2 linked regions of the Pelodiscus sinensis genome follow. Each later gene encodes a partner of the first gene's protein in a complex. Links are inferred from orthologs where the notes say so. Each region holds a gene or a part of one and is shown in the gene's direction. Other genes may lie near its edges.

Region 1 (14,500 bases):
TCCAAGCTTGTTGATTCAGCAAAAGGTGGCCAGGTGAATTACCCACATTCTACCCTGTATCCTTCTCTGACCTCTCCGCTTTTAAACCACTTTCAGTGCCTTAACCTGGTTTAAAAGTGGGCTGAGGGGTGAAATTACTGCTCTTCTCTGCCTCCCAGGGGGGCTTGGTCAGCTGCCATCCAGCAATAGCTTGATTTGAAAGTCGAATGTAAAAATATTGCCATATTTCTGTACCTCTGGCAGCATCACACTACAACCCATAATGGTTCTCAGAGGGAGGGGGTTTGGAGATGGGTTAAACCTTATTGAAAGTGGTTTAGCTAATGTGGTTTGAAGGCTGTGTGAGAAATCAATTTCCAAATGAGATTAGTGCCAGTTGAGACTGAGTTGCTTGGCTTGGCTTGAGAACCCAGGACCATTTTTCCTCCCAGCTCTCTTCTGTAACCATGGGACAACCTCTTGTCACCAGCAGGCTCAGGTTCAGGAATGAAGGAAACAAGGAGTGTGTGGGGTGTCTTGAGTGGATCTCTTATCAAAATGGCCAATTTTTAGGCTCTGTTTTTAGAGGAAGAAGAAAAGGTGCAATGGTCTTTGCCTGTATGGTGCTTCTGCTATAAGAGGACCTTCCATGCCCCAGTTTGTCTTTCATAAGCCCCGACTTCCTCTCACACTCATATTTAGGTCACACCTACAGAGGCGTAGTGAAGGGGCTGCAGGGGGGGGCAATTGCCCCCGGGCACCATGCTAGGGGGACACCAGGCCGAGGTGAGAGCAAGTGCACGCTGCTCAGGCTCACCTGGCATGGGCGGCAAGTTTATGGCCATCCCCCTGGCCCTGGGCCATCACTGCCATGCACAGCATTCAGTTGGCTTCTCCTTGCCCGTGCACGCTGCGTACGGCAGGGACAGTCCGGAGCCGGGAGGGATGGCCATAGAACTCGCCGCCCATGCCAGCATTGTCAGCTGCCCCTTGCCTGCGCATGCTGTGAAGCATTTCCAGGTGACCGGGGAGACGCCCGGGCGTGACGTGACATCACGGTCTGGGACTTTAAAAGTGCTTGGTGCCGCGTGGTGCCAGCCTAGCTTCTGGTTTGGAGTACGGGGACTTTTGGGGCCTGAGTGCAGACTCCAGGCCCACAAAGTGGAAGACAGAAGGTACGGTATGGTACGGTATGGCAGGGCAGGGGGAAAACTAGGGGAAAGGGGTGGGAGAGGAAGGGGCTTGTGGGGAGGGGAGGGGAGGAGCTTGTGTGGAGGTGGAAGGGAGAGGGAAGATACAAATGGCAAGGGGCCAAGTTCAGACAATGAGGGAAAGGGCAGGAGGGGAGGTGTCAGTGGGAGGGGGGACAGGGTGATGCTGGGAGAGGAGAGGAGAGGGGAAGGGCATTATGGTCTAGAGGGGGAGGGAGAGGTGCTGGGAGAAGGCTTGAAAGGGGTGGGCATGAGAAAGGTGGGGATGGAGCAAGTCGTGTGAGGGCACAGGGGCATGAGAGGAATGGGGGCAGAGAGTGGAGAGGGGGTGGGCATCAGGGAAAAAGAGGGCAAAAGGGGCAGGGGCAGTGAGGGAAGGGGGAGCACCAGGAGGGTGCAGGGCTAAGGGAAGGTGCAGGTGCCAGGGTATTCTGCGGGTGAAGCAGAAGGGCAGACACCTGCAGGGAAGGGACGAGCACCAGAGGCGAGGGGCAGGGCAGGTGTGTAGAGAGAGGTGTTAGAAGAGGGGATGAGGAGGGGTAGCTCACCTGGAGGAGTGGGCACAGGAGGGAGAGAAGGGCTGGTGGAGGGGGAAAGGTCGTAGAAGGGCAGGAGTCAGGCCAGCAAAGGAGAGTGAGGAGTTGGGGGGCAGCAGGCACCAGGGGAGATGATGGAGCAAGGAGAGGAGACATGGCAGCAGACAGAAAAGGTAAAGGTTTAAAAATATTTATTAATAACATGGTATGCTGCCCATGGCCAGTTCGTTTGCGCCCCGCGGTGCAGTTTGGGTTTATGTGGGGATCAACACGTGGCTGGCAAGTGGGAGGCAAAACAAAAAAGTAGTCAGTGTAATGATCTTCTGTTGATGTGTGTTTTAGTAGTTAAATTCTTGGACTGTCATTGCTCATGAAAAGTGCTGTCACATGGGTAGAAATCAGGTAAATGTTGCATTTTATGAATATCAGCAGAGCTGACTTAAATGAGGCCTGTGTGTTGTGTAGTCTTGCCTTAATCTTTGTATTCATGCCTGTCAGTGTGAGAGAAGCTATTTGTATATATTTTCTTGCATATGTAACCACACTTAAGTTGAGGCCCTCAACATGTTCTGTAAGTATCAGTGTAGCCCCTGGGGCTTCCAAAGTTTAGTTGCCCTAGCTCATCCCTGACAAGTTGCCCTACCTCATCCCTCATCAGTCTAACCTGGTCTTAAATATCTCCAGTGATGGAGATGCCGCAATCTCCCTAGGCAATTTATTCCAGTGTTTAACCACCCTGATGGGCAGGAAGTTTTTCCTAATGTCCAACTTAAACCTCCCTTGCTGCAATTTAAGCCCATTGCTTCTCATCCTAACCTCAGAGGCCAAGGAGAACAATTTTTCTTCCTCCTCCTCATGATACTCTTTTAGATACTTGAGAGCTGCTCTCATGTCCCTTTTCGGTCTTCTCTTTTCCAAGGTAAACACAGCCAATTCCTTCAGCCTTGCCTCATAGGTCATGTTCTCTAGAACTTTCATCATTTGTGTTGATCTTCTCTGGACTTTCTCCAGTTTCTCCATGTTTCCTGAAATGTGGCGCCCAGAACTGAACATGATACTTCAGCTGGGGCCTAATGTAGATGGCTCAGTCCCTGCCTAGGGGACATGAGACTGGGCGGGTTAATTTCCAACCTCCTGTTTATTCTTTTCCTAAGCCAGGAGGCTTAGTTCTGATGGGGGCTCTGCAGGAAGGCAGCCTGCACTGATCCCTGCCTGAAACCTTGTGCAGGTGTTAAACAGCTGTCCAGCCCACCCTAGAGGTGACTGCATTTCAGCGTGCCTGAAGCAACACAGCACCAGCAGTGGACAGGAGAATGGCTCCCGGGCATGGCTTGCTCATGACTGCTTCGGTCCCATTGGATGGGCCTCAGCCTCTTTTCTTCCCCTCCCCTGCTTTGCAATGGGGCTGTAGACTCTGGGGGGAGAGGGGTGGAGGCAGGCAGAGGTGTCTCCCTGCAGCAGATGTAGACATGTCTCTGTATTAATCATTCTCTCATTGAAGTGTTTAGCTTTGTAGTGAGTCCTTTTACATATAAACTTTGTATTACGTCTTGGTAGAATAGTCCCTAGGACTAGTGAGGCAGAGACTGTCCCTGTGGGGTGAATGAGGTGGGAATGTAGAAGGCGGAAGGTGAGCACCTCTGGGCAGTTGCAAAGGTTGGAGAGGGGATGGAAGCCAGATCCGAGATCAATGAGCCCTGGGAAGTGGGCCCATTGAAAGGAGACTGGACCTGTGGATGCTTTGAGGGTCAGTAGCAAGGGCCTGCTTTGGGAAGCCCCCTCTTTGGAGGTGAATGTGGCAGCATTGAGACATCACCCAGAAGCAGGCGCCACAGACACTAACTGCAGATTCATGGGACGGCTCTCACAGATCTTGCACATGCATCAGATGATAGATCTGCAGGAGGGGGGGCAGTGGCATAGCGAGGGGGCCGGAGAGGTCAGTTGCCCCTGGGCACCATGCTAGGAAGGCTCCAATTTAATCCCATTCTGCTCCCTCCGTTATCCCTTCAGCTCACGTGCTCCTACTCTGCCTGCCACCGGCAGCTGGAGCCTCCTGCCTGCCTCGCTGCTCCAAGCCCGACCCCTCTTCCATCTCCACCGGCGGGTTAGTGCATGCGGGAGCCCGGCCCCAAACTGTAGTACAAGTTCCCCTCAGCTGTGCACCAGGTTCGGTGCTGTGCCACATGGCGATGGGGGGGGAGGGAGGGGCGCAAATTTTTCCTTTGCCCCCGGGCGCATAACACCCTCACTACGCCTCTGCACACCTATTTATCTGCAGGCACTGTCAGAAATGCACGAGAAGTTAGTTCAAAATCCAGCCCATCTGTTTTAGGTCCGAGTTTTTGTTTCCTTTTGGTTTTAGCATAGGAAGTTTCCACCTGTTAGGTTCCTTGTCAAATAGATGACAATGTGTGAACATGTTAATTGCTGTGAAGCTAAGTAATGAACCCACTGTTGTTGGGCAGGGGCCTCTGACCAGAAGCATCAGCAGGTAAGGGGTTCTTTCCTTTCAGGCGTTCGAATATTTTTCTAAATAGTCAGTAGAGGTCGCCAGTGGTCTATGCAAATCCTGCTAGTTCACTAAATCCACAACTAAATCCTGAAGGCCATTTGCAAAGGACATTTCTGGGTTCACGTACTCTCTTTATTCAATTCCTGAACCAACATATTCCTTTGTATGAGTAGGTTCCTTTGATTCCTACCCTTCCCTATCATTTGCACTGAGAGGGAAATTATCCTAGGCTACCATTTTCAAAGGAGTCTGTCTGAGAGTGTTAGGTGTCCAACTCCCATTAAAATGGGTACCTAACTCCCTTAGGTACAATTGAAATCCCAGCTTTTGTGAGAGGAGGATCCATCACTGCTGGAAAGAAAACCACTGTCTTTTCATGAAGGACCATGAGCCTTCCCTCTGAGCTACCCTAGGGATGGGCAGGCTCATGAGCCTTCATGAGTTTAAAACCTGGAACTGATTGTTTCAGAAACCTGGCAATCTTTAAGCACTGTCGCTGTGTTTGTCCTTCTCTGAAACAGAGATGGAGCAGTTCCCAAGGAGTTGACAATCGAAATGTCTGCTATAGCCAACAACAGGATTTATAGACCCTGCAAACAGCATAGAAAAACAGATGTACTCAGGGGGCTCAGCTGGATGGCTGCATTCAGAGAATGTGGGCAGGTTCCTGAACTCATGGTTTTGGAAAAGAAACATCAGGCTTGCAGCCCATGCTCTGGGAAGAGCAAATAAGCAGCAGTGAGACAAGAGAAATAATCCCCTGCAGGGCTTTCATTGGTACCTCTAAATCAAGTCAGGGAGTAAACCTTGTGTTGCCAGATGCCCAAGGCAAAATTATAGGGAACAATGGGTAGAGTGTGGTAGGATACAGTGGACTTTGTTGGTACATGGTAGACAACATAGATGAGGTTAGCCCCTAAACAGCCATAGAGTATTGTATAGCCAGTTGTAACCAAATGCAAGGTGAAGTTTATGGCTTGTCTACACAGGGAAGTTGTCCTGAAATGAAGTAGAGGGTGAATTTAAAGCATGATAGCTATTCTGGAATAACTCTCTATAGGGGCACTCTTTTTCTTGATATAAAAGTGTGCCTTTCCTGATTTAGCTTAATCTACTTTCAAAGCGGACTAGTTATTTTGGTCATTTTCCCTAGGTAGACAAGTCCTTGGAAAGGGTGTGTAAGATGGGTCAGGTGAGAGATCCAACCCGGGAAGCAACCTGAGGGAGGGTGTGTCTCCTAAATGCATGATGTTGCCAGGACAGAGAGCACAGAGCGAGAACACGTGACCTGAACAACAAACCATCGGGACTGCTTGTGTTTTACTCACAGAAGCTCAAGGTTTTATATAGTTTTGATAGTCTCTAAGGCTATGTCTAGACTACGGAGTTTTTCTGGGATACCACCACATCCAGGGAACACGTCTGCTCTTCCGACATTTTTTTTGGAAGAGCAGACACACTCTTTCGGAAGCCCTGTATTCCACATTTTATGAGGAATAAGGGCTCTTCCAGAAGAGGAGGTTTTCCAAAATTTGACCCCGTGTAGATGGACCTAATTTTGAAAAAGCCTCTTCCGAAAAATCAATCGGAAAAAGGTACGCAAGTTGCAGTGCGCAATTTGTGTACCTTTTTCCGAAAAAAAGCAGCAGTCTAGATGTAGCCTAAGGTGCTACAGGACCACTGGTTGTTTTTAAAGTTACAGACTAACATGGCCACCCCTTTGAGGTGGTGTAATTAGGGCTATGGTGGGCAATCCTGCTTGGTGGGCCTGATACTGTGCAGTGCATCAACATGTCTGCCAGGCCCCCTTTCCTTCCTCTGATCCCTCCCCTTCCCCCTTGGTGTCCCCTTTATTTCCTCCTTCCCCCTCTACCCCATTTCCCTCCTTCCTTCCCCCCTTTCTCCTCCTTCCTTCCTCTCTACCCCATTTCCCTCCTTCCTTCCCCCTTTTTCCTCCTTCCCCCTCTACCCCATTTCCCTCCTTCCTTCCCCCCTTTCTCCTCCTTCCCCCCTACCCCATTTCCCTCCTTCCTTCCCCCCTTTCTCCTCCTTCCCCCTCTACCCCATTTCCCTCCTTCCTTCCCCCCTTTCTCCTCCTCCCCCCTCTGTCTCCCCTTTATTACCCCCTTCCTTTTCCCCCTCTCCTCTCCCCCTATTCCCTCGCCCCGCCCCCTCCAAGCCCCGCCCCCGCCCGCTGCGTGCCCCGCCCCTCGCAGCCTCGCTCGGGCGCTAGCAGGTTCCTGTCATGGCCGCCGTGTGCCGCGGGCTCCTCTCGCCCTGAGCGCGCCGGGAGCGGACCCCCTCGCCCCGCCCGGTGCCGGTGAGAGCCCCGCGGCGACAAGCCGGCAGGAGGCGGCGGCCGGCCGGGGATGTGACCGGCCGGGGGGAGCCGGGGACTCGCAGCCGCCCCCCGGGGTGGGGGGAATCGCCCCCGTCACCCGCCTGACCCGTCAGTGGCCCCGCTTCCCTGGCGGGCTTGTTCCCTGCCCCGCTGGGGCCCCCCCGACCGGGGCTTAATCCCTTCCCCGCCCCCGCCCACGGGACTTTCCCCCTCCTCGGAGTAGGCCTTAACACTCCCCCCCCCCCCCCGCTGTGTGTCCTCTTCCCTCACCGGGGGTGTTGGATCGTCCCTCCCCCCCACCAGAGCGAGCTTCATCCCCTTTGTCTCCTTTTGCTCCTTCTCCTCCACCCCAGACTGGGGTTCGACACCCCCTCCGGGGTTTCTGTCCCTTGTCCTATTGGAATCCTTGGCCCTTGGGGGCCATTCAGGGCCTGTGGGGATTAGGGTTCTTGGCCTCAGACTCTCTTGCCAAGCCTTAGGAGCCAGAGCCGTACTACATAATTCACCAAGTAGGCCTTTTGCAGTGCTAGGCTCCCAGTTGGGATGAAGCCAGCCCCGTCACCCCAACTTGACCTTTTCTGGCTGCTGTGCAGAAACCTTCCTCCTGGAGAGCATCACTGGACTAGCGCCTCTTTCCTGCCACCAGCATCGACTGGACCAAGTAGAATGGCATTTGTATTTTCATGAACAATTAGGAACAAGCCCGGGTTGGCTTCTCTGCCTTATAAGCAGCAAGCTGGTGCAGATGGGTAGTTCATTACTTGTATTGTCACAATGATTGTTATTGTTTCTGCTCCAAAATGATCCCGAAGTGCCCATTCACTTTGTTCAGAGCATTGGAGAGGTAGCAGAAAACTTATCAGAGAAGGCAAACCTATTGGTCTTCAATGATTGCAAGTTCCTCTGAAATATCCCCCTTACTCAAAGGTCATTATGGATCCTCAAAGACTTTGAACTGTTTAATTGGAAATCTAAAATGACTTTGACACAGTTGATTCTCTCTCACTTTAATAATACTTGAAGCCAAATCACTGGCTTTTTGGCCTTTATTAACTAAGTGCTATGCAAAAGAAAAGGAAAAAAAGAAATCCTGACACTGATTGCAATGGGAATGACTATTTCCTGCCCTGGGTGGCCCTATATGTGGTTTTCTTATTGGTAAGATAAAGTAGCTCCCACTTACTCAGTGGAAGACTCATTACAAACAAGAAACTTTGGTAACACTTGTAACTGCTAAATAAATGGAACATCTTATAACAGAGCTTTGCATAAAGGCACCAGAAGAATCTTGTTGCAGTTTCTAAAGTGTTGAAAGAATCTGTGCACCTGACTGAACTCTGCTTAATGTGAGCTGTTTGCTGATGTGATAAACACAACGAACGCACACACCTAAAATATTTTACTTGCAAACTCTCAGCCAACCTGGAAGATCAGGGATCTCAGTCCTTACACTGCTTGTTCTGGGGAAGATTGCCTATTGTTACTTTATGGGGCAGCAGCCTGGAAAAGTTCTTGGGGACCAGAGAAGGCCAAGTCTGCCTGCCCTGCATTTTATCAAAGGAGCAGGGAAGAAAGAATCATCTAGGCATGGAGGCCCACACTGCAATGTCTTCGTGGAACATGGTAGGTGTTTTGATTTGTGGTCCTTTTGCTTTTAGTTAGCATATTAGGATACAATATTAATTTATTAAATTGTATGAAATGGTTTTAAAAAGAAGGGTTTTAGCCTTTGCGTTTTCCCTTTTCTGCTCCCTAAGGTTTCTGGTGACCTCTCTGTATGGTCAGCTATTAAGGATTTTTTTTTGTCATGGTTAGATTGCCATTTCCCAGGTTTGTGAAACCCCAGTGGGATTTCTTGTATAGCTAATAGCAAGGAAAGCAACTTCTTCATAATGTTGCTTAGGACAGATATTTTAAAAATGTTTTTGGTTTTAGGTTTCAAATTTTTGAATCTTTTGAATTTTTTTAGTAAAGGATTTGGATGATTTGACTCTAGAATGTCATAATGAACCTTTTTGCATTTATTTGAAGGGCAACTGAAATATATCACACTTCCGTTGAAACACTTGGATTTACTATACTAGTAACACCTTAGATAAAGAGAATTGTTTTGATTTTACATTGTGTAGTTGACAACTTTTGTGGATGCTCAGTTTTTCTGGGCTTCAAGGTAGCCAGTGAGGTCTCAGTCCTTTATTATGACGCTCTTGGAGTGCTAGCTTGTGCAAAGCATCTTGCCGGACTGGAAGCAAGTACCACCACCACCTTACGTTTATGTCAGGGTGACCAGATGTCTTGATTTTATAGGGACAGTCTCTGCATTTGTTTTTTCCCCCCCTTATAGGGACCCTCCCCGTCCCCCCATTGCTTGTCCCAATTTTTCACACTCGCTGTCTAGTCACCCTAGTTTGTGGGGGTCTTGAACCGGTAATGGGGGACAGAGAAATATTATTTTTATCCCTCCCCCCAAAAAGAAAACAAGATAGTGAGCTTTTGTGGCTGGTTAAATGTTTTTTTACTGTACAGTTGATTAGATTTCAAGCTATGTTTTCCCATTAGAAGAGAGAGACAGAAAGAAAAATATGTTGCTGAAATGTTTTTACTAAATCTCTATCCTGCACATTTGAATTCAGAAGATCTTCTGAGACAGCATGGTACTAACTAAGCTAGAAAATATGATTCTGACAATGGTTATTTAGCATTTTTATGCTACTCAGAGTAACTTTGTTCAAGCATGAGACAGATCAATATTTGCCATTTTTGTACTTCAGATAACTCTGAAATATTTGCTTTCTCTGGGAACACAGTTAAATAGCAGGTAAAAAAGTTTCTCAAAATAAATGTGCCCGAGGCTTATTTTGTAAGGACATTTAGTTTGCGAAACTTCTTCACTGTGAATTTCCCAAGGCCACAAGATCCAGAAAATTCAATATCATTTTTAGGATTATTTACAGATAGATGCTGTGGAAATAGTAAGTGTGTTAAAATATTAAAATCATCAATGATTAAAAATGATTTGTATTTCTCCCCTCTTCCCATACAATGTGTCTATGCAGTGATTGTTTGAAAAGTGAACCTAATTCTTGGGAAGCTGGATGATAAAGCTACAACAGCTCTGATATCAGTGGCATGTTCCCATTGCAGAAACACTCCAAACCAAGTACTTTATTTTTTTTAATCAAATACACATATGTGTCCCATCTCTGTTGCCTCTCTGCTTCTCTAGACAGAGCTTCAAGCTCAGATGGCATGGAGCAAGAAACAAAGCACTAAACTGCAAGTAGCACAGTATTCCAATCATGTTTGGTGTTTGATCTGAGAGACAAGGCAGAAATCCTGAATTTTGATCATTTAACAAGAATAGATCAAAAGATAACTTTTTGTCAGGAAGACATGAGGACAGAAGAACCCAGTGCGTTTACAAGAAAAAGTATTGTCTATAATGGCAATACTCCATATGTCCATAAGAAACCTCAATGTCTTGATTTTAAAAAAAGTACGTATCTTGAAAGGAAACCTCAAAATTCTTACATTGGTTAAGGGGCCTGCAAAAGTTCAGTCTTGCTTATCCGTATGAGAAAAGCATCTTCCCTTATAATACCTCTGACTGTGTCTACACTGGCACGATCTTGCGCAAATCGGACGCTCTTGCACGAAAACTTGCTGCCTGTGTACACTGGCTGCGTGTTCTTGCGCAAGTAAACTGGCGTTCTAATTTATGAAATCAGGGCTTCTTGCACCAGAACTCTGACGCTCCCATTCAGGAATAAGTCCTTTTGCGCAACTGTTCTTGCGCATGAGGCCAGTGTAGACAGGCAACATGAATTTCTTGCGCAAGAAAGCCCTATGGTTAAAATGGCCATCAGAGCTTTCTTGTGCAAGAGAGCATCTACACTGGCATGGATGCTCTTGCGCAAAAGCACATGCCAGTGTAGACGCTTTCTTCTGGAAGAGTTTTTGTACAAGAACTCTTCCGCAAAAGAGTTCTTGTGCAAGAAGCTTCCAGTGTAGATGTAGCCTCTGAGTATATGAAGAGGCTCTCAGTAGCATAGTAGTATTTAAGACTGCTGCTGTTTCTACAAAAAAAACAAGGAGACCTGTGTCCTCTTAGAGACTAACAGAATTATTAGGGCATAAGCTTTCATGGGTAAAGCCCACTTCATCTGATGAATTGGTGCCCCAGGACTCCTCATTTTTGCAGATACAAACTAACACAGCTACCCCCCCTGAATCTTTTTCACTTTGCTGTGTCTAGTTACTCATTCCTTTTTTTTTGTTTTGGGGGAGAGGGGGGAGAACTGGGCATAAAACAGCTCCTGGCTGAAACCTTGCCTACAAAATCTTTTCTTGGGAATGAATTATATATAACTTTAAAAAAATAGTCTAGCTGTTTAGGTTGTAGAGAGGGGAAAAATAGTTTAGGTGCTCCCCATCTCTCTCAAATTTGGTATCAGTTTTCTTGCTGTGTAAAAGAAAATAGTCCATAATCTGTCTGTACTGCCTTTTTTGGTATATTGTGAGAGAATGATTCATTATTTCAAATCCTACCAGTAAAAGATTGTGGATCATATTGTATAAAAACATTGAGATCCTTTTTAGGATTTTAAAATAAAATTGTTTGATATAATTTCTCTTTGGTATTTTCATTACATGGTTTCCTGTAAGATCTAAATCAGTGTATACATGTTCTCTACCATATAGTGTGTGCACCATCTGGTCTCAGAAAGTTAAGCGTCTCATCTTCTATTGTATAAACACATTTAAAAAGAACCTGAAGGCTGCGTTACCCAAGGTAAGGTCTCAAACAAGGGACCTATGTCTTAGTCGATAGCTGAGAGAGGAGCAGTTGGAGTGGCTTATCAGCCTCAGCAAAGTATGTTTAAAAGAATATTATATTTGGCCTCTGCACAAAGGTGACCTACTGAACAATTTTTAATATTCTGTTTATAAATCTCTTAGCAAAGTCCATGTCAGTCTATGCGTTTTAAAAATGATTCTGTCAACCTTAAAGATACAAAGAACAGAGTACCATTGAGTGGATATTATGTATGGCACATTGGTCACTCTTCCATCAAGTAGTGCCTTATTTAATAAGCTATCAAATTGATTTAAGCAGAACTACTTTCAGTGCTAAGTTCTATTTAATGTAAGACTGACAGAGTCATGTCTACAGGAATGCTTCACAACGTTTAAAATCTCAAATGCACTGTTAGTTACTTAGCAATGTGATTAAAGTATAAGTACTGTTGGATATCAACAATGTACATCAAAACAACTTTAATAAGAGCAATTCCATTGTTTAGCTATTGTTCATTATATAATGCCAATAATGTCTTAGATGCTCTTGATGTTTAAAAGAGCAAGTGATCAGACCTTTGGCCCATCTAAAGGTCATCCATTCTACTGGAACGATACAAAAGGGACATTACATCTCTCTTAAATAGGCAGCTGAAGCTTTGTCCATGGTGGGGGACTTCTCAGCTGGTATACAGCCACCATAGCTTTTAAGAGGCACGCAATAAAAATGGAATGACACGTGGCTTATTTACTTATCTTATGCATGTAAGACAGTTGAATATAATACAGCCATTTTATATTAAATACAAATTACATTTCACGGAATGCTACAGAACTCATGTCAGGAAGTGCAAAATTGAAGTTTTCATAATAACTCTGACTTGTTCTTTTTGCACACATGGAGCCTTTGTTTACCCTTGGTCATCAGCTGCTCAGTTCCTTTACAAATGAACTGAAGTCCAAGTGCATACCTAAGAACAGAATTAGGTTTGCTGGATGTTAATATGTAGATTTGGGGTAGTAATAAAAAAAACCATATGTCCGATGTGTGGCATTTAGCCTTCTTTATCAAGAGAGATTTAACCTTTTCATTGTTTGACTTCAGTGTTAGTATAGGAGTATTAATATTTTAACTAGTATAAATTTCTGGATTTAATTCCCTTTGTTTTTTCCATAGGCTAACACTATATACGTTCTTTATTGGTAAATGCTACAATACAAAGAGAAACTTCATTTTTATTAGGATCTTTACACCTTGCCCAGAAACTTACATTGAACAAAAAACCCTGATGGTCCGGCACTCCTGATGGTCCGGCACCATCAGGAACCTGAAAGTGCTCCGGGCAGCCGGACCATTGGAGCTGCTCTGCCCCCAGCTTCCCAGATTCAGCCGCTGCTAAAACTGACCAGCGGCTGAATCGGGGAAGCTGGGGGCAGAGCAGCTGGAGTGCTGCTGGGTAGGTACCCTAGCGCTGCCCCTCGGGGCTGCGGGACCAACCCGGCAGCACCCCAGCTGTCCCCTTTTCAGCCGCTGCTGAAACTGATCAGCGGCTGACTCCAGGAAGCCTGAGGCAGAACTGCTCTGCCCCGGCTTCCTGGAGTCAGCCGCTGGTCAGTTTCAGCAGCAGCTAACTTGGGTACACCTGGGACAGAGTGGCTGGGGTGCTGTGGGATTGGTCCAGTAGCGCCGCTCTTCGGCGCTGTGGGACCAACCCGGCAGCCCCCCAGCTGCTCTGCCCCAGGCGTCCCCAAGAGCAGCTGGGGTGCTGCCGGGTTGGTCTCGCTGCGCCAAGGGTCGGCGCTACTGCACCAACCCGGCAGCACCCTAGCTGCTCTGCTGCAGGTGTCCCGATTCAGCCGCTACTGAAACTGACAGCAGCGGCTGAATCAGGGACGCCTGGGGCAGAGCCGGACTATCGGAAGGGGGGGCTATGAGGGATCTGGCCCCAGACTCCTCATAGCCCCCCCTTCCGATAGTCCGGCATATCTGATAATCCGGCACCCCCTGGGTCCTAAAGGTGCCGGCTTATTGGAATTTTACTGTATACTGCAGACCGTGGTCTCCAGCATTTTTAACTACAAGATCACTTTTTTAATTTAAATGCAATTTAAGATCTATCCCAGACCCAAACACCCTTGCCCCACTTCCCTCATGCTGCTTCTTTGAGGCCATATCCCTGCTCTGCTCTTTCTTGGAGGCCTCACCCTGCTCACTCCATCTCCCTTCCTCCCCGAATCTCATTCGCTTTCACCAGGCTGGGGTAACTGGTTGGGGTGCAGGAGGTTGGGGTGCAGGCTCTGCTCTTCAGCCAAGGAGCTTGGCATGTGGGAGGGGCTCTGGGCTTAGCCCAGGTTGGGAGATTGGGGTGCAAGCTCTGGGAAGGAGTTTGGGTGCAGGGAGACTCATGTCTGGGGCAGGAAGTTCAGGGCTGGGACAGGAGTTCAGGAAGCAGGCTATGGCTGGGCACCATTTAACCATGAGATGGCTTCTGGGTGGTGGAGCAGTGGGGTTAAGGCAGGCTTACTCCTGACCCTGCACCGCTCCTGAAAGCAAGTAGCATGTACTGCAAAGACCCCATGACGCCATGTGCTGTTCCTCATCTACAGGCACTGAGCCCACAGCTTCTACTGGCCATGGTTCTCTGTTATTGATCAATGGAGCTGCAGGAGTGGTGTCTGCAGGCAAGGACAACATGTGGCAACCTCCTGCTCTACCTTTCTCAGGGGCTGCAGGGACATGCCAACCACTTCCAAGAGCAGAAATTACCATAGAGATAATTAATCCAACTGCAACAGGTTAGGCATTTTAGAACTCACTACTCAAAGAGTTAAATTTAAGCGTAAGAACAAAATGAAAATTATGAAATGCACAGACCAGTCAAAACCCAAAACTAACAAACTTTGTAAGCTGTAAAAGTAGTAACAAGCATCCCCCATGTATGTGCTGGGATGGGAGATGAGTGAGGGACACTGTGTGTTTGTGAGAATGTCAGAGGGAGACACATTGTGTGAGTGACAGATTTGCACTGCCAAGCTCCCTTCATCCCCTTCTCTCTCTGTGGAGATAGGGTAAAAGGAGTGGGGGGAGGAGGAACATCTTGACATCCGTGCATCCCGTCTC
Region 2 (14,500 bases), on another chromosome or scaffold:
CTACTGCCAGTACCCCCATTAAATGTCAGCTTGGGCAGCTACTGCAGTGCATGACGCACAGATTGTTTGGAGCCTCATTCCCAGCCAAGGGGAGGCCTTGCTCAGTGGATCCCATAGCAGACGGGTGTGACTGCTACTGGGGAGTTTCCTGACTACACAACCACTTCCCCTACACCTAGGATGCCTGGGAGGCCTCTGAAAGTAGCAGCTCAGCAAGCAGCTTCTTGGCCTTTGATCCCTGTGGAGTCTGGATAAAAAGTCAAAGGAGCAGGGCCATCATGATGTACCGCACAGAGACTCTCTCTGGGGTGGTCTCCGTGTCTTTGGCCACTGTTGCCTGTAAGCCTCTCTCTGCTTTGCCTATGTTCTAATCCCCCTGGGTCAAATATGGCCCAGGATCTAGGGCACTGGCTTGCAAAGGCTGAGCCCTGGGTTGTGCTCCTAGCTCTGCCCTGAGCTACAGAGTGACCACCCCTCGGTTTTCCCAGCTGACAAATGGGCATGATGCCGGGAGGAGATCTCTGGGTGCAGAGCAGTGTTCCCTGTAAGCTGCGCATGTGTGCGGCTGCTCAGGAGAGATTCCAATGAAGAATGTTAAAATGCATCATTTTTTTGTAACTGTGTAACTGAAATTTTGAGCGGTTATATGTTTTCATGGCGGGGGAGGTGGCTCAAACAGATCTCTGCGCTCTCCTTCCCCCGCTTCCTCTGATACAGAGGTAACAGCGTAGGGTGGGGGGCATTGCAGCTCCACGGGAGCTGGTACATGTATGGAGCTGGCTCCCCACATGTACAGCTCCTGCCTGCCCCCGTGCGTTGCTGCCTCTCATACAAAGGCCGCAGCATGGAGGGGGGCCTTTGTGTAGAACTGTGAAGGTTAATTGATCAGCCCAAGTTCATCAGTTAAATGTGTACATGATCATATCCCTAATTCAATCCTGCCCCATTGCTTAACAGAGCACCCACAGCTAGGTTTTTTGTTTCTACGGGAGAGGCACATTCACACACGCCTTGGTGCACACACACATTTATTTTGCACGTGGGTGGAGAAGTTTGGTGGGAACGCTGGTGCGGAGTACCATATAAGGCCTCAGGAGCACTACTTATTTTAGTCCTAGCCCATGCATGGGGATGGTCAGCTGGGTCACTTTTTCCTGCCTCTCTCCCTCCTTGACAATTCTGCAGTGTGTTTCTTTATACGTGCACATGCACTCTGACCACTTCCTGTCCCAGCTTCTGAGCTCTCGCACTGGCTGTGCAGGCTAGCTGCAGCACTCCCTGGCCCTCCACCACTCTCTGGACAGGCTGCTGCTGGCTGTGGGGGGTTGGGGATCATCTCACAAAAGGGAAAGAAAATCCTGGTCTAACAGATTATCTCCTTCGAGCATGCCAGTAAAATCAACAGGAGGGTAAGACCTGGGCCCTGTTGCCACATGTCCCAGAGCTCTGCTGCTACTGCTGCTGCAGGCTGCGGCTTGGCTCTGCAGAGGAAGGCACCAAGGGGGTTGCAAATCTCACAGCTAAGCTCTGAGCTGCCCTCTGTTCTTGGAGCAGCGCATTTGTGACACTATGTTCCCATGCCATTGGTTTGCAGAAGACGTGCGAGTGGGAGGTGCTGCAGTGCACCTTACAGCAACAAGGGTGGTGAACCCACTGCCACAGCCTCTCTCCAGGGTGCACATGCAACACCTAGGGACCCAGCATAAGCCCGCAGCACTGTGGGGGAGGAGGGAGTCCCCTTGCTGCAATGGCTGGGGTGCAGCGCTGGGATGGGGGGTCGCAGGACCGGAATAGCGGCAGGAGCTGCAGATGAGATACACTGACAGCTATTGGGGGAGATCATCCGAGACTGCCATTTATTATTGTAAGAGCCCCTAGAGGCCAGCATGTCTGGTGCCCTGTTGTGCAAGGCGCTGTACAAACAGAAAGTGACTGTCCTGCCTTATGAGGAGTGAGGTAGATGGGCAGCACTGGGGAGCAGTTGTGGCGGCAATAGAAGGGACTGTTGCTGGCCAAGACTGAGGTGTGTTGGCAGTGCTGCAAGGGCTGCACAGAAATAGCAGCAAGTTCAGGGTAGGAGGGTGATGCACAAAGGCCTGTGGGCGCAGTGTGGGGCTGGACTGGACTAGCAGGAAGCGCAGCAGATCGGGAGCAGAGCCGGGTGCAGAAGTGGTGTGCTGGTTTACTGGTAGTTTCAGGGGAACCGATGGTTTGGTTTGAACCAAATTTGAAAATTGCAATAACAGAAAAAAAATCAGCAAATGGAAGTAAATCCAGTCAGGCCGAAGAGAGCACGCTGCTGGACCCAAACCGTTTTGGTGCAGGCTGTTAGCCAGCTTCACAGAACAGGAGAAGAAAGTGCCCTCCCTATAAAAAAAAAGGCTGAAACTTGTAACTGTTAGCAGTTAGGGCATTTATCTGGCTCCCTCGCTTCCCAGGTTTATCTCCCCACTCCCCTTCCTGATGTGGAGAAGAGATTTGAATGTGGGTCTCTCATTAGCTTGGGAGAAGATCCTACCCACCAGATTAGAGAGTCATCCTCCCTTGGTTTTGCTGAGGGGTAGTCATTGTCCTTATGGATGGCCATGAATTGCCTCAATTAATAACAAGGGCTAGTCATTGAGTGGGGGTGGAGGGAACCATGTGACTGACTCCAGTGCAGAGGTTAGGGCACATGCCTAGGCAATAGGAGAAGCCAAGTCCCTGCTCCATTGGCTAATTATTTACACAACGTGGAACAGCTTCAGTAGGAGCTGAGACTACCCCGTATTGCCTCTTGCTCTGGAGCTGGGCTGTTCCTTGTAGGGTGAGAGCACTAAGTTTGAATCTTTTCTTCACACCAGGCCGAGGGGGGTCTGAACCTCCCACAAGGGAGCACCTTGGCGACAGGGGGGCTAACAGAGGCCGGGGTTCCCCATTTTACGATGAGCACTTCAGTGTCAAAAAAACAAGGGCAGACCCTGGTTAGTGCATCTGTGTCAAATTCACCAGTGGGTTTGAGTGGACTGGAGCTGTACTTTGTGGTGATGTGAATCAGCTCATCTGCCCCAAAGCCAGGCAGGAAAGGCACGGGCAGAGTGGGCCGGGTATTCCAGGTCAGGTACAGCAGGGGGGCTGAGGCTCATGACTGAGGTGCATTGGCAGAGCTGTGAGAAGCCAGCATGGCACCTGCCTTCTCCATCTCTGCCTCTCGCTAGTGGAATGGATTTGCAGGGTCCCCGCATGAGTCTGCCAAGGCGTATGGAAGGCAGAGTAGGCACCGGTGGAAACAGCGGGTGGGAAACGAGAGGGAGAGTGTGTGGGCCCCATGCTCTGGTTAGGCTGTGGCGGGTGCTTGTTCTGCCTTGTTACATGTTTGCTGTAATAATATTTCCCCTTTAAGGCTTGGCTGAAGTTATTTATACTTGCGGGGTGGTGACAGGAACAGAGAGCAGCACCAGGAGCCCTGACTGCTCTTACCTGCTTGGCGATGACGGGGTGGGGGTGAGGGTGGGACTCAGACCAAAGAGGAAACAGAGGAGAGAAGGAGAAGGAAAGAGAAGTGAGAGAAGGAGAAAAGGGAGGCAGGAAACCCAAGAGTGAGGGAAGCGGGGCAGGGAGGAGAGAAAAGGGCGGGAGTCCGAAGCCAAGTCAGAGTGAAGAGAAAGAGGGGGAGAGGAGAGAGGGAAGTAGAGAGAAGCGGGCTGTCTCCTCCCATGACAAGTGCAGCTGGCTGGCGCTGAGTGGGGGGGGTGGCCGGTGCTGTGCTCTCCTCTCCGCTCCCAAGATGATGAAGAGGCAGTTTAATCGGATGCGGCAGCAGCTCTCCTATCCCAGCAACACAGGACGGTAAGGACCCAGCCTTAAGCCTTTCATCCTCCAGCTGGTGGGGCTGACGGGAGGGCAGGAAGCTGCACTGGAGAGCATTTCACAACCCCTCCCCTCCAGCCTTTCAGCGGCACATGGGCCAGAGACCCAGCGCTGCCAGGAGCCAGGGCAGGAGCTGTGAGGACCACCCAGGCCCTGGGTGGAGTGATCATGGGAGGGGCTGGGGGAGCTGAGAGCAGCCTGTTTGGGGAAGCTTTAGCTAAACCCTAGGAGGACTTGGTTAACTCAGACTTCCCCTAGCCCTCTTGGCTGGGGGAGTTGGTGGGACACAGCAATGCTGCTCCGTAGTGACTCCCGCTGGTCCTTTAAAAAGCCAGGTTAACAAGCAGGGGCTGGCTCCACTTGTCCTGCTGGACTGAGCAGTGGGGCCCCTCTGTCCTGACTGGCCCTGGACGCTCAGCTGCGACGGTGTGACTCAGACCCATGTCAATTAGGACAGGTGTTGACCCTAATCCGGACAGGTGAGGCAGGGAGGGCCTGTCACATTGTGCCCCTCTGTGGGGAAGCAGGGCAGTCACAATCTGGGGCCAGGGAAGTGGGGACGTCAGCAGCAGAGGGAATCCTCCGGCCCCATTGGGGGAAGAGAGGAAGATCAATGCAGGAGGAGAAACAAGACTAAAGGCACATTCCCTGCCAGGGTTTCCCTCCCTCCTGGGCCCATCTGGAGCTGAATCCTACACACGGTGGCAGGGGAGCTTCCTCTTGTGTCCGTCAGGGTCTCAGAAAAGCCTGCCTGAGGAGGTGAGGGGTGGCGGTAGGCTAGTGAGAGAGGAGGGGGCTCTGGGCCTATGCGCTGCTCTCCTTTCCTCTCTGGCTCTCTAACTACATTTCCATTCCGGCCGCTCCCCAGCTCAGGGCCACCTCTGCTTTATTGTTTTTCTCTCGTCTAATTGTTCCCCTTGCAAAACCTTGGGAGCCCTGGCAGGGCTGGGCTCGCCGGTCTCTGCTCCAACCCACACACATATTTTGTTGTTTTAATGTCAGGCAGTTGAGAATGGCTTCAACCCACCTCACTGTTTGCCTGAGGCCAGGGAAGTGGGTCTTTCACTGGGAGTGGTAGGTATTTCTGCAGCTGGCTCTTTCCTCCTTCCTCTTGCCTTGCCCCAAAGCAGACCCCTCCCTCAATTCCCCCTCACCTCCGTAAGAACTAGGGCAGTGGCAGGGCCTCTCTACTCCCTACCTCCTTTGCACTGATCAGGAGATTTTAGGGTCCAAGATCTGCCCAAGTGCCTAGTGATTTTCAGTGCACAACCCCAAGGTGTCTTGAAGGGCCCTGGTTATTAGAGGGCAGGAACTCACCATTCCCTGTCAATCAAGTGTCTTTTGTGAGGTGCCCCAAATCACTAGGTGCTTCTGAAAATTTTGGCCTAGATCCCTTATTTAGCAGAGAAGGAACCTGCATGAAGTCTCCCAGTGCTGTTACTGCCCCACGCTCCCTTGGCTCGCAGGCTGGGAGCCATTTTCATGCTTCACATCCTCTGTCCATGGGCTCACCTGCAAGCTCCTCTTAACCCGAGACATGATGACCCGGAACCAGAGCAATGGGGTTTGGTGCCCTCCCTCCCGAAGAGCCTGGTTGGAGGCCACCAAATGTAATGAGTCTCTCGCTCTCCCTCCCACTCTTTTCCCCAGAGCCCAAGAAACAGCTGAGCTCCTGACTGAAGACTTGCTGCAGGTGAGGCCTGGGTTCAGTCCACAGGCATGTGTGGGCCTGTGCCTGCATGTGGGGCAAACATCTGGTGTGCCTGCGTGTGAAATACTCTCTCTCTCTCTCTCTGTGTTTACCTAAGTCACAGGGCAGCCTCAGCCTGGATTGTTCTGTATCCTGGAACGATGCCTACGTGCAACAGTGGGGGCCAGACCTCTGACAAGCCTCCCTGATTGCATCAGGGGGAGACAGAGTAAGCCTCAAGCCTGAGCAAGGCAGCCCAATGCTTGGTGGGCCTTGTCTCCCATGCCAGCTCTGCCACTGAGGCTTTCTCTGTACTATGTCCTGAGCCATGTTAGGGAACCCTAGTATCACTCAGCCTTGGCCACACTGGAATGTGGGTTGGTTTTGCCTGTGGAGACCAGACAAAACTGTTATAACCTCATAAGGAAACTGACGTAGCTCTGTCTGGTCTCCACAGGCAAATCAAGCAGTGGTAGAACAGGGGCACTATGCAAACGGGCTGTGCTTGTAATGTAGGTGTACAGCTGATGGACAGGTGGGATTGAACCTTGGTCCTTAGGGGAAAAAGCCATGAGCCTCTACTACTTGAGCTAAAAGCCATCTAGCACTTAGCTAAGGCTTTAAAGCAGATGTCTCTCTCCCATACATAGGCAAGGCCTGACAGTCCATCTTCTCTGGCAGTGGGGTGGGACAGAGAGACAATGCCTCATCAGGCCCCCACAAGACACTAGAAGAACGTGGGTGGGTGTCAATAGGCAGAGAGGGTCCCACTGTGCCCTCCACATTGGAGGAAAGGAAGCTGTCTTTCCTCAACGGGCAGCTGTCTCCACAGCTAGGAAACCCCAGCAGAGAGACCCCACGGCAGCCCTAGAACCTGGTACACTGAGGAGTGGCTGAGGATGGAAAGCTTTCCCCCAACCCCTCCCCCCATTTCCCAGTCTCTCTCCCTCTCTCTAGATTGAGCAGCGAATCGAGCCAGCCAAGCGGGCCGCGCACAATGTGTCCAAGAGGCTCCAGGCATGCCTGCAGGGGCAGTGCGGTTCAGAGATGGACAAACGTGTGGTAAGCGCCTCTGCCCGCTGCTCCCCGCTAGCTGTGCTGCCTCGGCAGCCTGTACAGGAAGTGGCTGTCAGCTCCTCCCACAGCAGTCTGCCCCAGCCGCTCTAGGAGCAACTCTGTTGGATGCAAGATGCTTCTACGGTGCAAAGCGCCACCCGAGACTTCCTGCGTGTTGCAGCTTCACATCTATTCCCCTGCACCTTGGAGGGTCTGGTCTGTGCTTTGGAGAGGTTGGGTGGGGGGTGCGATGGGGCAGTGGAGTGCTGAGCTTTCCCAGCTAGCTCTCTGCTTCTGCTAGAGCCTGGGGGTGCGCCTGGCTCTTACCGGGGGCCAGGAGTGGAATAGAGAACGTTTCTCCCCAAAGTCACTGTTCTGATCTGCTCCCCCATTGGGACACAGCACTTAGGGGGCCTGAGTTTGGGAAGCTGCATGTGCAGAGCACTATATTGCACAACCTTTCACCTCAGGGTCACCTATTCCTGTCTGAGATTAACACACACAATAGTAAAAACTTAAACAACAACAAATAGTCTGGTAGCACTTTATAGACTAACAAAACATGTAGCTGGTCATCTGAAGAAGTGGGCTGTGCCCACAAAAGCTCATGATACCACCTTCATGTTTTGTTAGTCTTTAAAGTGCTACCAGACTATTTGTAGTTTTTTAAGTTTATCCTGTTACAGAATAACTCGGCTACCCCCTAAAGCTTTTGAACACACAATAGTGATCAGTCTTCTTGTGCACTTGGCACTACAGCCAAGCTGGCCATTGCATTCCAGGGAGTAACTTGGCTACCCTCATCTATGGAAACTGCATTGGGGCTCAGCGTGTCTTCTCGGTGACTGTGCTTTGACCGCCCATGTAGTGTGCCTGTCCTAGCGTGAAGATGTCCTGATCAATGTTCCCTCTAATCTTTTCCATCCATTTGTGGATTTTTTCCACCCGTGTGCAGAATAAATGTTGTTATGTGCACGGAGGCATGCGTGGCCGTGCACCACCAGGAGAAACAAAGAATCTAGCTGTGGGCGCTCTGCTAATCAGCTGAGTGGTGTTGGAATCTCTCCCGAGTGGCCACACAGGTGCTCAGCTTACAGGGAACTCTGGTCTAATCACACTCCAGTAAAGGGAATTTCTTCCTCCATGACCCAGCCCCCTCCACTCTAGCATTCTAGGATGAGGCTCACAGCTCCAGACTGGATGCTGAAGGAGGACTTTGCACTCCAGGGCCCTTCATTGGGGAGATGGGTTGGTGAGAAAGAGGCAGGATGGATCATACCCCTCGTGTCTCTCCCCTTGGCTTCAGCTTGGCTGGCCCTGCCCTCAGCAGGGTGTGGTGCTGAAGGTGTCAGTCACACGTTGGTGGGGAAGGGGCTCGTTGGGGGGGAAGGGGCTCTGCTTATGGTTTCCTTCCCCCCTTTCTCTCTCCTCGGCTCTGTGCAGAAGAAGCTGCCCTTGATGGCTCTGTCCATCACTATGGCTGAGAGCTTCAAAGAACTAGACACCGATTCCAGCCTCGGGTAAGTGCCCCCAGGGAAGAGACAAAGGAGCCCTGAAAAGTATCAGTCCATACTGTACACCAGGGCACCGGTCCCAGGGTTCATGCTCCCAGGCTGAGCCTCTGAGCTCTCGCATCGAGGTTCACGCTGCCCAGCCGCACGGCAGCCTCCTGGTGACAGGATTCCCACTCTGCCTCTGAGCGCACACACTGGGGGATTTGTGCTCTCGACCTGTGGGTGCAGCAGGATCTGGGAACTGGTTCCTGGGATTGGCAGGGCCTACCTCCCTGGTGCAGAACGCTGGGGCGGGGGTGGGGGGCACAGTATTTTTGAGCCTGCTGTGATTCTCCCCTTCTATGCCTGCAGAAGAGCTCTAGAGATGAGCTGCTTCATACAAAGCATGCTGGCCAAGGTCCTGGCTGAGTTTGAAATCACCTTGGAGAGGGACGTTCTACAACCTCTGAATAAACTGAGTGAGGTAGCCCTGAGCACACTCCGCCTTTCCTTTGCTTTCCCCCTTCCCTTCTTTGCTCACTCTCCCTCCCTGCTTGTGCTCTCTCCACTCCCTTCTCCCCACTCTCCCATTGTGATTGCACAAAATGCAGCCTTCACGCAGCCAGGCCTGGCGCATGGGTGGGGTGTGTAACAATCTCCCAATCTCCACTAGGAGGAGCTGCCTGTCATCCTGAAGCACAAGAAGAATCTTCAGAAGCTGATCTTGGACTGGAACTCCATGAAGAGCAGGTATTGAGCCGGGGGGAGGGTGGTGAGTGGCAGCAGAGACCCAGATGATTGCCCCCTTGAGAGTGGGGATGGGGGAGGATGCTGACAGCTGCACTCTCAGAGCAGGGAGGGTCTATATCCCGGACATGCAAGGATGACTCCAGATGCCATGTGCACTCATAGAATCATAGAACACTAGAACTGGAAAGGACCTCAAGACATCATCAAGTCCAGTCCCCTGCTCTCACAGCAGGACCAAGCACCATCTAGACCATCCCTGATAGATGTCTGTCCAACATGCTCTTAGCTAAGAATTCCTCCTTCCCCCTCCCCCCAAGGCCCCAAAAGGGATGAATGTGAAGCACCTTTGAATTCTTTGTTCCCTTCCTTCCCCTTCACACCATGATTCCCCTGGGCAATTTTTAGGGAGTGAACTTGACACTCTGAAAGCCTTGTTTCGAGTGTTAAAACTGAGTAAAAAGGGCTTCCAACGACCCTTTTCCTAAGCACTGATCCACAGGGAAAACACAGAGCTTTCTTGGATTAAGGCCCTTCCTGTTAAAGGCAGACCAGGCAGTTGCCTATGGCAGCAAAATCCTCAATGCCTACTCGTGTGGGTGGTGTAGGGATTATTTGCCTGCATGCCCACGGCCCCTAGGACAGGTCCTAGTTCCAGGAGAAGTGTGGGGGAGGGAGGGAGTTTCTCTATGTTATGTGCTTTGTAACTCTGAATGAGCAAATCCTCTGCCTGGGGCAGGAATGGTGCCATGGAGGGTATAACCCACAAGCCAACGCTCTGTCAAGGCGGGAGAGAAGGACAGCCCTTCTGCTTCTAGGCTCATCTACCTATCCGCCAGAGTTTTGATGTGGATGGAGGGTCTGTGCCTATCTGTGTACAGTGTCAGCGCCCCTAGTGTTGAATGCTGTCAGGTTACAAGTGTGTCAGCCCAATTCTTCTTTTATAACCCAAAGGCTGAACCAAGCTGTCAAGAGCTCCAGTAACAGCGCTGGCCCTGGCCCTGGCCCTGGGGGGTCCTCTGCTGCCATTAAACTGGAGAACCTGAAGGATGAGGAAGAGGAGGTGAAGCGAAGGGTGGAGCAGTGTAAGGCGAGTGGAAAGCGAATCTGCACTCTTTGGGGAGGGGAAGAGATGACGCAAAGAAGGGGAAAGGAGGCCAGGTCTGGGATCATTCTGCCAGCTGCGTACCAATCCACTTGACTCCAATGGAGATGTCCTGGAAGGCCCCGGTAGCCAATCACTAGTTACAGTCTACAGCTCTGTCTAGAGTGAGAAGGTTGGTCCAAATGCAGCCCATCCCAGTAGCTTGTTGGCCTCAGTAAGATGGCTGTGTCCCAGATTCCTGAGGGGATAGACAGCCGGCAGACTCCAGTACCAGCCCCAGGCTCTGGTGTAACAGGTTTAAAGCAGCAGTGTGGTAGTCAGAGTGTAAAGCCACTGTGGGAGAGCTTGATAGGGTGCTTACAGACACAGGCCTGGCTCTCAGCAGATCTGAATTCAGCTCCCAGCTCTGCCACAGACTCCTTGTGGGACCTTGGGTAAGTCATGTCAGCTCTTTGGGCCTCTGTTCCCTGGAGATGACAGCCCTGCCGTCCTCCCTGCGTGTGTCTGTCCTGTCTACCCAGACAACGAGCTCTTCCGAGCAAGCAAGGGCTGTCTTGTGCAGCACCCAGCGTAACAGCACCCACCCCAACCCTAATACCAAATCAGGAACGTAGGGACTCATTTCCTGGGGGGGGCTGAAGGGAGAATGCAAATGCTGGCTCAAGTAACCCCAAATCTAATGAGCCGGACTCTGCTCCTCTGGGCTGCTGTCTTTGCCTCCCCTCCAATCGCCATTAAGATTCCAGGCTGCCACTTGTGATTCCCCCTCCCCTACCCCACACCTCTTGGTGTAGCCTGACAGGTGATCTGGCTATGGGAGCGCTGTCTGTGTGGGAGGAGTGTGTGTGTGTGTGGTGGGGGGGTGGTTAAAGAGGAGGTCTGCGGGGGAGAGTCCCTTCCTTGTGGTGGTGCTGAAGAGAAGGTTATTGTGTGCTGTATTTCCTCTCCAGGACGAGTACATGGCTGACCTCTATCACTTCTCCACCAAGGAGGACACCTATGCTAACTACTTCATCAAAGTAAGTCCCTTCCCTGCATGCTGTTCCCTCTGCCCATCTCCTTCCCGTTGCGTGCCGAGTCCACTACATCTCCATCTTGCGCTGGCATCCTCCCAGTCCCATGATCCCACCAACCCACCACTGCTGGTGAAAGAGGCGTCTCCCTACAGCTCTCACTCCGTCCTCACCACTCTCCTTTGCACTGCACGTCCTGCCCGAAAGCATCGGGCGGTGTCTCTGAGGTGCCGAGTAAAGCTGGGTTTCTCTGTGGTCTGTCTGGCAGCTGCTGGAAATCCAAGCTCAGTACCATCGGAAGTCTCTGGAATCCCTGGACACCGTCTTGGCAGAGCTAAAGGAGACCCATGGCCAGGCAGGTGAGTAGGAGGAGCCGGGCTGGGGGAGGCAGGAGATTTTGTGGGTGGCAGAGCAAGTAGCTACACACACGGTAGATTCACTCCACTCCTTCCTCAGGGTCGCTCTAAGCTCCCACTGAGCCTGCTTGCTGGGGAGTTCTCCTCCTCTTCTCCTTACCCTGGGTTTATACACACACAGCAGGGGCAGAGGGGCCGGTGTTGTGCTCCACACTGACCCCTGCTGACGTATCCCAACCCTTGCTGGAGAGACCAAAGCTAAGAATGTGAGATTCCCTCCACTCACTGTCTGCCACCTCCCAGCGGGGACTGTGGATCAGAGGGCAATTTACAGCCAGTTGCGGTGAAGGCGGTTTTGTGATATGGATCCCCGTTCCCGCTAGGAGATGACCTCATATCCCTCCACTCATTTCACATGGGGCTGGCTGGAGGAGCACTGATCCCTCTTCAGCCTGACTAGGCGAGAGACTCCAGTGGGGGGGTGTCCTCCAACCCTCCATTTCTCTGCTCCGTTCCAGAGTCCCCTTTCCCCCTGGATACACCGGTGTTGGGATATTATGGGGTGTCGTTGGAGACGCACCTGAGGACTTTGGATCGGGAGATTGCCCTCCCCATAGAAGCCTGTGTCATGATGTTGCTGGCGTCAGGCATGAGGGAAGAGGTAGGTGCCGCTTGCTGCCCAACTCCTCCCCCCCACCCCCCGGCCAGTCTGTCCAGCCCTCACACTCTCTCTCGCTTGTTTCCTCTAGGGACTTTTCAGGCTGGCAGCAGGGGCCTCGGTGCTTAGGAAGCTGAAGTGCAGCTTGGCCAGTGGCTCCAACGCACTGGAGGAATTCTATTCTGACCCACACGCTGTTGCAGGTAGGTGCTGGAGGCCCAGGGTAGGGGCACTGGAGACATTGTCTGGACAAGCGACAGCCCCAGAAGTGTGGCTTTGTCTCTAAAACAGTGGTTCTCAAATTGTGGGTGGGCTCGTGAGATGATTATGGGGAGGGTGCAAGCAGTCAGCCCCTGCACACGAGGGGCCTCTGACCATCGGCTCCTGCCCACAAGGGGGCTCTGGCACAGCCATGTGTAGGGCTGACGGCCGGAATTCTTCAGAGAGGGCAGCTAGAGGACAGCAGCTGCTGGCTGAGAGCCCAGCTCTGAAGGCGGCACTGCCCCCAGCAGCTGTGAAGAAATTAAGGTGGCATGGCATGAAGGGCTCATCGCTGCCAGAAATAATTTCAAAACAGGTCCCAGCAATAAAAAAAAAACATAGTTTGAAAACCCTGCTCTAAATCATGACCCTTTGCCTCTATCTCAGGTGCACTGAAATCCTACTTGCGAGAGCTGCCCCAGCCCTTGATGACCTTTGAACTCTATGAGGACTGGTTTAAAGTAGCCTGGTAAGAGAGAACTAGAGAAAGGGGCATTCTTAGGCAGGCTAAAATCATCAAAAAGGACCTTTCTGAGTATGGATTCTTCAGCAGGGGGGTCAAACATGGGGCCCCCAGGCTAGATCTGGCCCACATGATGTATTGAGAGCGTTCTGCCCAGAAGCACTGGTGACTGCATTGATCACCAGCATCTCTGAGACTGGGCAGCATGCACTTGTCCATTCACATGACTGCCAGGAAGAGTTCATCTGAAGCCCTCCTCCAACACAAAGAGGGGTTGTGAATCAACCCTGGGAGTTTGGACTGAGTGGGTGGAGGGCTTTTGCTGAACAGTGTTGTGTTTGTGCATGTAGCGAGGGAAGCAGTCACTGAGAGCAGGATGTTTAGACAGTCTCCCCTAGGGAGAAGCCTGGGGAGAGGTTTTAGGGTCAGGGGGCAAACTGAAGGAGTGTTCTTGGTACTGTGAGCAAAAGGTGGTATTTCCAACTATGTGAGTTCTTCTGCAGTTTGAGGCACAGGATTTTGTACTTCCTTCATTGTAATTAAACAAAACTACATAAAAATACCTGACTGCCACCAATTTCTGCTCTCCACTGGACCGTCCACCAGGACCTCAAACTTTGATTAGCCTCCTGGGGTTATGTGAGGAGTGGGATCCGGTTTCCAAGGAGAGAGCATGTGAGCCGGTATTTCTGTGGAATCAAGATGGAACAAAACATGGAAAAGGCTTGCAGTAATCAAAAATAGCCAGCAGCGTTTAAAACAAGCCCTAAAGCGGGGGTGGAGACTTCCCAAGAGGCATTAGGACAAGAGCTGAAGGTTTCCCAGAAAGGGCTGAGAGACAACTTGCAGGCCAAGATGAGATCCCTGTTGGAGCAGCAGCTATGAAGTGCCTGGGCAGTTTGGCAAAGCCAGTTGGAATGGTGAAACAGATTGATGAGGTGACCAACAACTGGACTGCCATAGGCAAACCAGTGGAGACTAAGCAAGCTTTAACCAACTGGGAATCTGCTGAGATGAACTGCAGTGCGGTCTTAAGGAGCTGACAATTCAGGTGCAGAGGAAATCAAAGGGTTGCTGACCACAGAGGAAAGCCGATGCCTGGATTAAGAACTGAGCCAGCTAGAGGATGTGGGTAAGACTGGATATTTACTAGTTTTCTACTTTTTTTGTAATCCACAGCAGCCCAAATGGGAGAGGTTGGTCTGTCCCAGTGTAGATGAGGCAAACCACAGTATCTTTGAGGGAAAAGCTCCCTTGGAAGCGTCTATGATTCAACTCTACGGTATAGCACCGATGAACAGCTGGGAGGAAGGACAGGAAGGGGCATTACTCACAGCCCACATGTGTGGCCCAGCTCTGATTGGGCTGCAGATCTTACCACCGAAAAATAGACTGTCTTATCCAGATCTGATACAAGCTCTTGACATCTGGTCTGGAGCTAGCCCTCAACCTGAGCTAGCCATCAACCTGAGCAGGCCAGGGCCCAACCAAGAGCTAAAGCAGAGGGAAAGAAGAAACTCCATCTGAACTGGCGGAGATGTGCGTTCATGGCATATCCAGATAACACCGGGGCCTTCCAGGATATGAAAATGGGCCAATTTATAGATCCTCAGTGGGACTTGGACTTGCAGAGGAGGATCAGTGAAAAGAGGCCAAAGATACACTGAGAGGCTGGAGGACCTGGCCGTGGAACTAGAATCTTTTCTTGCAGACATTCACCAGACAAGGAATAAAGCAGCTGCTAGTGAGGAAGAGGGAAGCTCTGCATCTGATGTGTAGGATGAAAGAGGGGATTTTAATCTGGTTCAT

The links.
Region 2: the proteins of ABL1 (region 1) and SH3BP1 are in contact, whole or in part, in a crystal structure (PDB 1ABO), measured with the Mus musculus proteins. The link is inferred for Pelodiscus sinensis from reciprocal best matches to the Homo sapiens genes ABL1 and SH3BP1. Residues at the interface, in NP_033724.2 of Mus musculus: Tyr70, Phe72, Ser75, Gly76, Asp77, Thr79, Asn94, Glu98, Trp99, Trp110, Pro112, Asn114, Tyr115; in NP_001303613.1 of Mus musculus: Ala607, Pro608, Thr609, Met610, Pro611, Pro612, Pro613, Leu614, Pro615, Pro616.

What each region holds. Positions count from the first base shown.
Region 1 is NC_134732.1:13,783,284-13,797,783, forward strand, and holds the start of ABL1 (tyrosine-protein kinase ABL1), read left to right. Parts: upstream 1-6,459; 5' UTR 6,460-8,069; coding exon 8,070-8,205; intron 8,206-9,638; exon of another isoform or gene 9,639-9,711; coding exon of another isoform or gene 9,712-9,742; intron 9,743-14,500. UniProt on the Homo sapiens protein: Non-receptor tyrosine-protein kinase that plays a role in many key processes linked to cell growth and survival such as cytoskeleton remodeling in response to extracellular stimuli, cell motility and adhesion, receptor endocytosis, autophagy, DNA damage response and apoptosis.
Region 2 is NC_134711.1:92,432,819-92,447,318, reverse strand, and holds the start of SH3BP1 (SH3 domain-binding protein 1), read left to right. Parts: upstream 1-3,489; 5' UTR 3,490-3,766; coding exon 3,767-3,828; intron 3,829-3,876; exon of another isoform or gene 3,877-4,923; intron 4,924-5,499; coding exon 5,500-5,542; intron 5,543-6,496; coding exon 6,497-6,601; intron 6,602-8,038; coding exon 8,039-8,115; intron 8,116-8,460; coding exon 8,461-8,572; intron 8,573-8,761; coding exon 8,762-8,838; intron 8,839-9,789; coding exon 9,790-9,925; intron 9,926-10,890; coding exon 10,891-10,959; intron 10,960-11,221; coding exon 11,222-11,312; intron 11,313-11,827; coding exon 11,828-11,970; intron 11,971-12,058; coding exon 12,059-12,170; intron 12,171-12,615; coding exon 12,616-12,697; intron 12,698-14,500. UniProt on the Homo sapiens protein: GTPase activating protein (GAP) which specifically converts GTP-bound Rho-type GTPases including RAC1 and CDC42 in their inactive GDP-bound form.